Linked DNA regions of Oryzias latipes. The protein of the gene in region 1 interacts with the protein of each later gene in a biochemical or structural test. Links are inferred from orthologs where the notes say so. Each region holds a gene or a part of one and is shown on either strand. Other genes may lie near its edges.

Evidence for each region. The genes of interacting proteins can lie anywhere in the genome.
Region 2: the proteins of transducin-like enhancer protein 4 (region 1) and pax5 form a complex in vitro, tested with the Homo sapiens proteins (2 studies listed by BioGRID). The link is inferred for Oryzias latipes from reciprocal best matches to the Homo sapiens genes TLE4 and PAX5.

What each region holds. Positions count from the first base shown.
Region 1 is NC_019867.2:5,255,834-5,261,950, forward strand, and holds the start of transducin-like enhancer protein 4, read right to left. Parts: upstream 4,008-6,117; 5' UTR 3,519-4,007; exon of another isoform or gene 3,440-3,518; 5' UTR 3,296-3,439; coding exon 3,251-3,295; intron 2,910-3,250; coding exon 2,812-2,909; intron 1,336-2,811; coding exon 1,272-1,335; intron 1,177-1,271; coding exon 1,132-1,176; intron 1-1,131. UniProt on the Homo sapiens protein: Transcriptional corepressor that binds to a number of transcription factors. Inhibits the transcriptional activation mediated by PAX5, and by CTNNB1 and TCF family members in Wnt signaling.
Region 2 is NC_019859.2:12,746,113-12,751,442, forward strand, and holds part of pax5 (paired box protein Pax-5), read right to left. Parts: intron 2,735-5,330; coding exon 2,609-2,734; intron 1-2,608. UniProt on the Homo sapiens protein: Transcription factor that plays an essential role in commitment of lymphoid progenitors to the B-lymphocyte lineage. Fulfills a dual role by repressing B-lineage inappropriate genes and simultaneously activating B-lineage-specific genes.

The DNA of each region.
Region 1 (6,117 bases):
CATTTTCTGCTTCAATTAAAACCGATGAAATTATTATTTGCATGGGAAATGACTGTTCACCCCCGGCAAGCAAGGTAACCATGCTGAAAGACGACAAATGAGGAGTGAAATCAAATTCCTGTTCCGTCTATTTTGTTCTTTCTTTGTCTTTTATGATTTCAAAGGCTTGATTTTGGTTCTCTGATTTTGTTTGTTTTTAGAAATGATGCTTCTTTTAATAACTCTGGAAAATAGTGATAAATAAGAAACTTTTGCAACAAAAAACAGATACACAAAAACCAGATATGCTCTTTTTCATAAAGTAGGCTACAAATAAAGTTCTGTTTAGAGGCACAACAAAGTAATTTATTTAAAGAACCACTCAGATAAAAATTGTGGTGTTTTTAACATTTTCCTGTGGCGTTTTTTAAATTTAAGTAAATTAAGTTTAAACTTGCATTTCTGAATATTTCTTTAGTCAAATCGTTGTGAATCAGGAGCAGACCAAAAAAAAATTGCGTTAGATTCTATTTGTGACATAGAAGATCTCCCTGCTTTGCCTCATCATGATGCATCCACTCATAGACAAAACCCAAGACAGCTTTATTTTATTTTGGCTAAAAACAGCATAATCCTACTTAAATTCTCAAAAATCATACTTAAAACCTTTGAAAATTCAGACGAGCTCAAAAGAGTGGGTTTTTAATGAGACAGCTAAAAATGTAGTAGATTTAGAAATATTTTCAATAATCTTTTAATTTTTACCAATTTTGATCTTGAACAGTGGCAGACTTGATAATTCCCACTATGTTTCAAAGGGGTTAAGGTTGAAACAATGAGCTTTCTTCAGGCAAAAACCATTTAGGAGGTTCCACTTACTCAGAGTTGTACTAAAGTAAAGAGCAAAACTATTAAAACGCTTTGTAAAGAAAAGCAAAATTGGCAACCTCATTTCAGTAACTGCAAATTGTCTTTTCAGGTAAAAAGCCTTGCACGAGCATTGTGACTGTGACAATCAATAGTTAATATTTACGAATCCAACAACATCTGCAAATTAAAAAAAAAAAAAAACCTAAAAATCCTCTATTCTCTGCCTGCATCCCTCAGACACAGAAATCTTTGTGTAACAACTTTAATAAGGAGCCTTCTTACCTGCTTGTGCATCTCAATGTTCAGCCCATATGACATTTCATAGTACTGAAAGAGACAGATCAAAGTGAGGTTATCCAAACGTGTTCTGTTTGATCTTCTTTAAGCCCAAAACACCAAGGACACATCCAAGGGAGACTTACCATAACATAGTGTCTCTGCATCTCAGTTTTCTCACTGGCCAGCTTCTCACATTCCATTTTCAGGCTAAAAGGCACAAACAACATCTTAGATTAGTTAATGACCACATTATTCCACAACCAACCTAAATTAGGGAAATATATATATATATATATATATATATATATATATATATATATATATATATATATATATATATATATATTTTACTTAAAAGTTCAAATCTGTGTTTTATTGATTTCACATCCTCTTATTTTAAGTGCAACAACAAAAGAGGAGAAAAGTTGTTTAGACGGCAGCAGCTTCTTCCTGGAGACACAGGCTCTTACTCAGCAGGTGCTGAGCAGTAATTAATGGATCAATGAACAAACACACAAACCTCATCCTATATTCTTTCACTGTGAGCGAAAGCTTAAACTGCAGCATCAACAAAAAAGCAGCCGTAATGCGAATCCATTTGACACAAAAGCTTATCTCTCTTAAAGGTGGCGAGTTACCAGAAACATTTAACATGCAGGAAATTGTTTTTCTTACTTCCTCTATAGTTTTATTTTTGACCATGAAAATTATAAATGAACAAACACTAAGCATTTCCATCAAAGCTTTAGTCCAGAGGTGTAACCTTAAGGTTTGTCTGATCCATCTTTTTTCACCAAACCCCTGCCTCCGTCCTGTCAGGACTTTGCTGCTATGAAGCCGTTTGATGTGGGTGGCTGCACCATTAAGCATGCTGCTCATTATCCTCAGCTGAAACTGCTCTGCCTGGGGATTGACCAGAAACCTGGACCACTGGTTCATCTCAGTAGGTGATTGGGTAATAATTACAAGGTGCCTAGAAGTGGGCGATTATTATGCATTGGTGTCGCGCTTACGGTTAACCCCTATAGCGACGTATTTCACACTTCATCATTTCAGGTAAAATGGTATTTCACACCACTTGCACTTGGAAAGACGTGCACCCCGGGTCGATGAGGTGTACCTGCGGTTAGTCACTGATGACAGATGGACCTAAAACAAGAGGGGGGCCACTGTGTGAACTGCACATAGAGAGACTGAGGTGGGTGTTTTTATAAAATCTTCATCTTGTGAAGTTGAGTAAAAAAAATATTTCATTAAGTAGTCATAGGAAAACCTGCTTCTGTGTGGCATTTCTAGTCATTGCATCATGCATACTAGATGTGTTGGTCATCCTTCACAGCAGGGCAGCATCAAAGAAGTCCATTTATTTTCAAGTAATTTGAAACCACAACCTTTTTTTTAATTCATTTTTAAGTATTATTCTTTTTAATTTCTTGTTTCTCCAAACAAAAAAATAAGTCTATTTTTACTTTTACTACAAATCGTTTTTTGATCCAAAAAAAGATCTCTTAACATAACCTAATTTTGCTCATTAGCTGCAGTTTATTTTTAAAAATCTATATTTTGTTTTGTTGATGGTAATTAATTTAGTGTTGTTTCTTTAAATGGCACAAGCAATTACAAGCATTTCCAGTGTTTCAACGGTCTTGCAGGATGAATGCCACTCTCCATCCAGACTCTCACCTGTGATACTGGGCTTGCAGGAACTGGAACTCCTCCTTGATCCGGTCGCAGGACTCAGTTACAGTAAACTTGAATGGCTGGCCCGGCTGGTGGGGGACCTCAACCCAGATGCAACAGCGTGTGAAGAAAAAGAGCAGGAAGAACTGAGCCACCAGAGTTCAGGGTCACGGCACTCTCACACGGATGGCAATGTGGCTTACAAAAGGTCTCTGTCATTAGCTTTTTTCTTTTTTTTTTGGTTTTACCCAGTCTTGTCACACGTCAACCCCCGCACAGTCACAGTCACACGCACACAGCTGCGGACACTTGACAATGAGCGCAATTGTCTGTGCAAGGGCGCAGTGGCACGGAAACTTGATTTAAACTGATTACGCATCAGGCTCGCGGCTGTTAAATCTGCGCCGTTTTGACAAGTTGACCCTCGATGACATCTACTTACCGGATGCCGGGCCGGGGGGTACATCTTGCTCAGATCTCGAATCATTGAAGATGTTTTGTAAAGTTCATCCAAAGGGAATGTGCCAGCTCCGATCTCCCTCCTCCGTGCGTAAAATGCTAGTTTGTTGACGGTTAATGACTTTGAGCTGGTTCGGTGAAGACTGAGAACATCCTAGGAGGATTGTTGACTCTGCAAAATATTTAAAAAAATAGAAGAAAAAAAGCCCAACCAATGATGATTTTAAAAAGACCAAAGTAATCGTCCTCACAATTTCCGGTGTCTCATTATGTGCGCAAAAGTCGCAAAGCGATCCAAAAAACACTTCAACTTTTGGGCATATCTGCTTCCAACTCGAGTAAGCTTCTCCACTCGGTCCCGTTTGTTGCGCGCGTGTCGCTCCGCCGTTCCAGCTCACATCCTCGCGCAGCATCGACTGTACCAGCCTGCCCCGACGACGCCAAATTTAGAAGCAGCCAGTCGTACGAGTTTAATTACATATTCACGGCAATTACAGATGCCCGGACCGTGACGTCGGGACGTGTAGTCTAATTCATAATAGTCGATAATAAGCCGCACAGATGCGCGTTCGCCGCGAAGAACTACAACTTCCCGACTCCTTCGCGAAGCCCTCCCCCCCAAAAGCTAATGGTGTGTGGTCTGCGGGAGGAGCAGTCATTTTAACACAGCCAATAGCGAGGAAAAGTGAGCACGCTGAGCTGCATCCACCTGCCACTCATCCGCGAGGCGCCCAATCACATCCAGAAGGATTGGGGATAATGCAGACCCCCACGTGGGGGGCTTGTCTGGAGGAGAAGGATGTCGCAGAGATTGATCTGGAAACTATCTGTTGACTTATCTGTGTGCGCTTTTTACATAGAGACTTGCTGGCAGAAGCATAGTTTAAGCTTTATTCTATTGTCTTAATGGATAAAACGTGGTTCTCAGATTGAAGCGCCAAATAAAATCACATTCAAACCCAATAGATTCATCTCATATTGATGTGATCATCAGAGAGATCATAGAAAAGAATGGATTTAAAGATGAAATGATACTAATGCTAAAACAATTTATTTTCATTTGATACAATTACAGGTGTAAAACTGCAGTTCTCAAGAGTCGGTGTCTTGTTTTCTAACTCACAAAAACCCTTGATCCAGATATCTAACATCAGGCAGGCCAGAAACATAGCAAAAAAAACACAGCAAAAAAAAACAAATAGCCGAACAGCAGCCCATTTGAGCTATATTTGGTACTCATGATGAGATACAACTTGCTTTGTTGTCTTACATTCATTCATCTTCTTAACCATTTTGTCCCTTTTGGGGTCACAGGGCTGCAGGAACCTACCCCAGCCACTTGTGGGCGAAGGCAGGGGACATCATGAACAGGTCGCCAGTCTGTCGCAGTGTTGTCTAAAAAAAGGTTCTAAAACTGCCCCAACAGGTGTAAAGAAGAAAAAAATGTTGGTCCTTTCAAATATGTTACTGATTGAATGATTAGAATTCAGTTATGGAAGAAGTCTAATTAAAGACCAAATCCAATGTAAATCACGCTTTTAGTGTTTTTAACTGGTTTTTGTAATTTTTTTCTCGTGATGTAGGACCTAAATAAAATAAAAAAGTATGGTTCTGATTATTTCTTTATTAAAATCATGATGAATAACGAAACATAGTAGATGTGAGGCAGATGCTACAGTCGGCGAGACACAAGCTCTCTGCGCCGCTCCATTTTGACAACTATATACTATATACTATGTACGTCTTTGTTTTCCTCATCTGTGCTGTTATCTGGCTCAAAACTGTACGGCTGGATGGCTCCAATATTGCTCTCCATTTCTGTTTAACCGGTTATGTTAAGTTTTGGTTGTGAGGGGCTGTAAGCTAGCAAAGAAAGTGTAAACAAAGCGATCATGGGAAATAAGAGAAACAGTCAGACGCTAATTTCTGTTGGACTACTGTAAAATCTATGTCCTAGAAAACAAAGTAGTTTTTTTGGCTAAAAGTGGCATAATCATGATAAAAAAGACCACTGGGAACACCATTGCACACTCCATCATTAGATTTTTGCTATTTTGACCTAAACGACAAAGCATCCATCCGTCCATCCATCCATCTTCTTCCGCTCATCCAGGACCAGGTCACGGTGGCAGCAATCTAAGCATAGATGCCTACAGACTTCCCTCTCCCGTGCGACTTCCTCTAGCTCCTCTATCCCGAGGCATCTTCATGCCAGCAAAGAGACGTTGTCTCTCCAATGTGTCCTGGGTCTCCCCCAGGCCTTCTGCCCAGTGGGGCACTGGAACACTTCCCCAGGGAGGCATCCAGGAGGCATCCAGACCAGATGCTCGAACCACCTCAACTGACTCCTCTCAATGTGGAGGAGCAGCGCCTCTACTCCAAGCTCCTACCAAACCTCTCACCCTTTCTCTAAGGGAGTGCTGACCCACTAAATGAAAATATTTTAATATTGTTGAAGCCAATATTTAATAAAGAATCAGAGTTTCAGAAGATTTGTTTCATTTAAAAAGACTAAAAAACTAAAATCAATGGTTTGAAGTACAAATAAGTATTTATCTTTTTTTTTTCAAAGCTGCAAAACAACAAAAATCACAGTAAATGGTATAGACATTTAAAAATAATAAACCTATAATAAAATTTAGAAAGAAATGAAAAATGCTTGTAATTTTTTTTTTCAGCTCTGAATTGATTCCTAAACTTGGGCTCAGTCATCTTAGCTACTATTTCACCCACATATCTAGCTGTGTTTACCCACAAGGCTCTGTTTTAGTATGTGTCTTGCTCTTGGTTCTCCAGAAAGCCAGCCCGATGTTTTGGTTGAATCTGAGTTTGCTTTTTTGATCTGCACCA
Region 2 (5,330 bases), on another chromosome or scaffold:
TGCGCCTTATAATCCAGTGTGCCCTGTAGTGCAGAAATTATGATATATTTATCAGGAATGTCAATAGGACTGTCTGTCTGAGACATATCATAGCGGAGGAACCTTGCAGTTTTGCTTTCAATGGGTTGAGCGTTCATGAATAATAGATCCCACAGATGTTCGCTTAGACTGAGATTTGAATGATTTGAAGCTTTTGCAGTGGTTTTCAACCCATTTTTGAACTGCTTCTGCTTTGCATTTAACTCAAATAGCCAACAGCTACCAGGCAACATTGGTTTATTTCTTTTTTTAATTATTATTATTGTAACATTTTTTTATATTTATTTAGGTAACATGTTTTCATTTACCAGGTATACTTGTGTTTGTGGTCAAAATAAATGTCCACATTCACTCTTTGACCTCTCTTTGACCACTTTTGACAGACAATTGTTGACGGACAACATCCACAAAAGCTGCAGCTTTGGAGATATTCTAACCCCACAAATCCGTCCATCACAATTTGCCTCATGTCAAACTTACTTAAATCCATGTCTTTAAGAACATTTTCACTTGTCTGATATGTTTCACCAACTGAAAAGTGCTATTGTGTGTTATTTTCTTCTTTAGTCAGGGCAGTGACCATAGGAAGATCACTTTTGTTGTCTATCAAACTAGAAATAGTTGATAGACAACTGTGACACAATTTGAGCTTCTTATAAATTAAGTTTGAAGACATTTTTTTTATAGACTTTTGTAAAAAAAAAAGTTCACTTAGAAAGCAAACAAGTTGTATTATATTCTATATACTTACTAATCTTGCTAGTTTAGGACTCACACACACATTAGTTGGGGATTTCAGAAACAAAACTTAACATCTTAAACCAAACTGCAAAGCACAGTAGCTGATATGTAATAATCCGAGCTCATTTGCCACAACAGAACAAAGGAAAGTTGTAGGCAGGAGCCCAGGCAATGGTTCTTATCTAGATAACTTTACAGTATATGAGTGTGTCTCTATGTTTCAGATCTGAGTGTTTCGGTAATGAGCTGGTCGTTTGAATCAAGCATTTCTTGGCCTATCAGGGACTTACCTGTCTAGAGTGATTTGAAAATTCATCAGCAGTGGGACAAGGAACTTGTATAGTGCGTACGTTTGTGTGTGCATGTGTGTTTGTTTATTTGAGGGATGGAAAGACTGAAACCAAATGAGCGAGAGAGAGAAATAGCCCCTTGTGGCTTTCTGTCACCCCCCCCCTTCTCACGCCAACATCTGGTGCTGTCTCATTTACGGCAGGAGACCGTCTGTGTGATGGCTTTTTAATGCCACTGACACTGCTGCTTATACACACACACAAACACACGCCACCCTGCATGTATGAGTGCACAGACAGACACACAAAAGCATAAAAAGCATGTGAGGATTGCCAACGCACAGACAAACAAATCCTGACTGCTCTCTCTGCTTGCAACATTGATCCAGTATGACAGCATAAATGATCAATAGTGCATGAATAAACTAAGTTCTCAAGTAACTCACTTGTGAAGCACTGTTAGTAAACAAATGTGGGTTTTCAATGAAGATGTTCGAATATTGCAAATGTACAAACACACATCTCTGACACTGACATTCATAGCTTTTCTACATGCAACTATGTGGATGTTTTTCATGTCTTTTATCAAATCAAACAGTTTCAATTTTTATACTTGCTGGTCTCTTGCAGCCCATTTTCCTGTAAACAGTTATTTGTGCATATTAAAAAAAACCTGCAGTTTTGATTTTCTGGGAGAATATCATGAAACTTTGGTCCAATTTTTGCAAAGGCTTCTTAAAGGCAAACCAAAAGGAGGCAAGAAAAAAACTTAAAACATGATAGACTCCCAATTTAATTATTTTTTTTACATGTTAGGCAGGGGCAGAGGTACTGGGAGATAGCCCACCCCACACACACACACAAACACACACAGCACGACCCCACACACACACACACACACACACACATCTTTGGGTTAATATTATTATCAATATTGACAAAGATAAAAAAAAAAATCAATACATGCTTTTTTGAGCATTGCAAAAAACAATTTTTTTTAGATTTTTTAATTAAATCCTGAGCCCCCTCAAATCATTTAATATGCCCCTGTACTGTGTGTCCGAGCTGATCTGGGCTGTCAGCACCCTTGCCTTCGTTTCCTTATAGGAGGAAATTCTTATTTCTGGAAAACTCATTCATAATAACTCATCAATAATAAAACAGTTTGAAATACATGCATGTATTTTTAAATCATTTCACTTGGATTGGCCTTTCACTTTTCCATTCTCATTTGCCACAACTCCAAAGTCTTCTGCCCCCTTCCACCCCCCCCCCTATTTAAAATGTTCTAGCTCTACCACTGATGTACAGTATTGTTCAGCAAAGGCAATATAGGCATGTTATTAAGTTAAATGAAAAAGGAAGTTATTATGTTATCATTTTTAGAGCACAGAAAGTATATTTTTTGCCCATCATGATTGAACTCGTCTAGAACTTTCACAGTTACTGCATACTGAAACCTTAAAGAATGAAACTGCCTGGACTCTAATCATTAAAAGCTACAGTTTTTGCATCATAGTAAAAAAATGACTGCTCACCTTCGTCCCTTTTCCTCTTGCCAACATCAGCTGCTGAGCTGATCCCCAGGATGCCACTGATGGAGTATGAGGAACCCGCTGAGTCGCTGGTCACTGCTGGGACCTGCGAGGCAGCCACAGACGTCGCTGTAGACAAACCACATGACAGTCGGGAGAATGTCAAAGGACGTTTTCATCGTCAGATTGAGTTTGGAGCATCTATCCATCCATCCATCCATCCATCTTCTGTACAAGCTGACTCCCTGTCTGGGCCACAGGCTTCTGGAGCCCACCCTGCTACTGTTGGGTGAAGGCAGGTTATAACCTTAACAGGTCCCCAGTCTGTTGCAGGGCAACTCACACATATAAACAATTCAGAGTATTCAATTAACATTATTAAAACATGTTTTCGGACGGTGTGAGGAAGCCGGTATGCTCCAAAAAACACACATGCACAGAGAGAAGATGCAAACTTCACACAGAAATGTCCCAGCTGGTATTTGAATTAGGGGCTTCTTGCTTTGAAGAGAAATTCGCTGGCCACTACGCCTCCATGCAGCCCTGGGCTTGGAGTAATAATTCTAATTTAGATTTACTAATTTACTGATAAATCAACCCCCGTAAATAAATATCACGATGAACCTTTTCAAACTGCCATTTTTCCAATCAAACAAGAATTATAGCATCAATAAATGTCCCTATAACCATGTGACTCAAATGAAAACAACCTTGTCAGGTTCCTGACTCGTGAACATAAGAAAACTGTTAGTTTTTCAGGGATTTTTTTGAAGAATGGTAAATTTTTTCAACTAATACATTTTCCATCAGCATTTTACAAAATGTAATGCATAGAATCTATTTTATGGAGGCCCACGTGACTTACAGTAGATCTTATTCTGTTACTTCGTATACATTGTGCAGATGCACCTTCCTGAAACTGGACAGCAATATCGTTGAGGATTGGTGCTTCTCTTATTCTCTGAGTTTTGTTTTCCTAAGTCTCTTTCAAATCAGGTTTCAGTTGAGATTTTTCTCTTTATGGAGTCATCTGTTTTGTTACCCCTTTTATTTTCCCTTGTTTCGGGTGTAAGTATTGTCATTTTCTTAGGGTTTTTCTCAGTTCTCTTCACAAATGACATTTCCTACATTTAGATCCTCCATCACCACTCTTCCTGGCAAATGGAGGCAGCAGAGTCAAGCCTTTGCTGCTCATCCAGTTGTCTCCTGCTCTGATCCTTTCTCTGGAGAAGACTGTAGTTCCTTGCTGGGCAACAAGGCCACATACTTGCTATCACCTTAGTGACTCACACACAAACACTAAAATTCTCCTGACACAACTGAACACACTGAAACATACAGTCACTCACTCTTTGATCTCTTATCTGAGCCCCTGTAAGCGGACGTCGGGCTGAGTGACAGTGCGGTATCCCAGGAGGGACAGAAAGGTGTGGCAGCAGACATCCTAATCCTCTCTCCCAGCAGACCAACCCAAACACAAGAAGGCAAAACCAAAAGAGGAATAAGGAGTGAAATGACAAACTGGGGGATCAAAGTCCCCTTCAGCTGCACTCCTTCACTAACGGCATGGAGAGTGTAATGAATGCATATCCCTTTTTTTGCCATCACTTGATTTAGCACTTCAATTATCTGATTTTTCTTTCTCTTTCTTTTCACTCTTTTTCTATCAGAACGTAACGCTCTTACTCTGCAAATCCAAATGTTCAATTTTCCGCCCGGGACTGGGACCCATTTATCTGTGTAATCTGAAAGCGAGCACGTGTGCGTGTGCGTGCATCTGCTAGATGTGGGTAGAAGGCAGGAGTCAGGGAGCATCGTGTGTAAAATTAATTTAGATTAATAGACAATGTGCGATTATGAAGATATGAGAGACACCAAACACAATCCACCAGAGAGGAAAAAGGAAAAGAAGGAAGAGGGATGGTTCTTATTGCCACTCAGATAAGAAAAAAGAAATGATTCAGTCATGATTGTAATAGATGTAGGCTATTGATGGAGGGTGAAAGTGATCAAATATGCTATTTAAATATAGAGGAATGAGGACTCTTCAGAGGATCCATTGTCTAAATCATTTATTATGGCGTTATACATGTTATATACTAAAGATGTGAAAATCAGCTCAGAAATGTTGACCTCATCTTGAAGTTAATTTCATGATTTTGCACTGAATCAAGGATTCAGGACACGCTGAAATCCTTTTGAGGTCCCTGGGCTTCTGAAGTCAATGCAGGCACTGTATGGCAAAGGAGGGATGCACCTTTAAAGACCAACTCTGATTAAAATTGTGTTTTTGGTGTTTTTTAAGATGTTCTTGTGGGATTTTTCTCATGATGGAGGACATGTTTAAAGAAAATTAAGCTTAAAATTGCATTTCTGAATATTTCTTTGTTCAATTTTCAATATTTCTTTATCCGGACATTTAATTTGTTGTTGAAGTTGTGGCGTACAAAATACAATGGGCAGGCCACTTGCATCTGGCTCAAAACTGTATGGCTGGATAGCTGAGATATTTATTGCCATTATTGTTGCACCAGTCTTGTTGGTGCGCGGGTGTGAGGGGCTCTAAGCCAGAGGGAGCGCACATACATAAACAGAGTTGGTGAGGGGAAGGGGGTTGGGTTGCTCCACGGCGACAGTTCTGCCCACAACTCAGAGGCAAACTTCTGCTGCTCTGCAGAAACTATGTCTAGAAAAAAACAGATGCTTTTCTTTTGGCCACGGCATA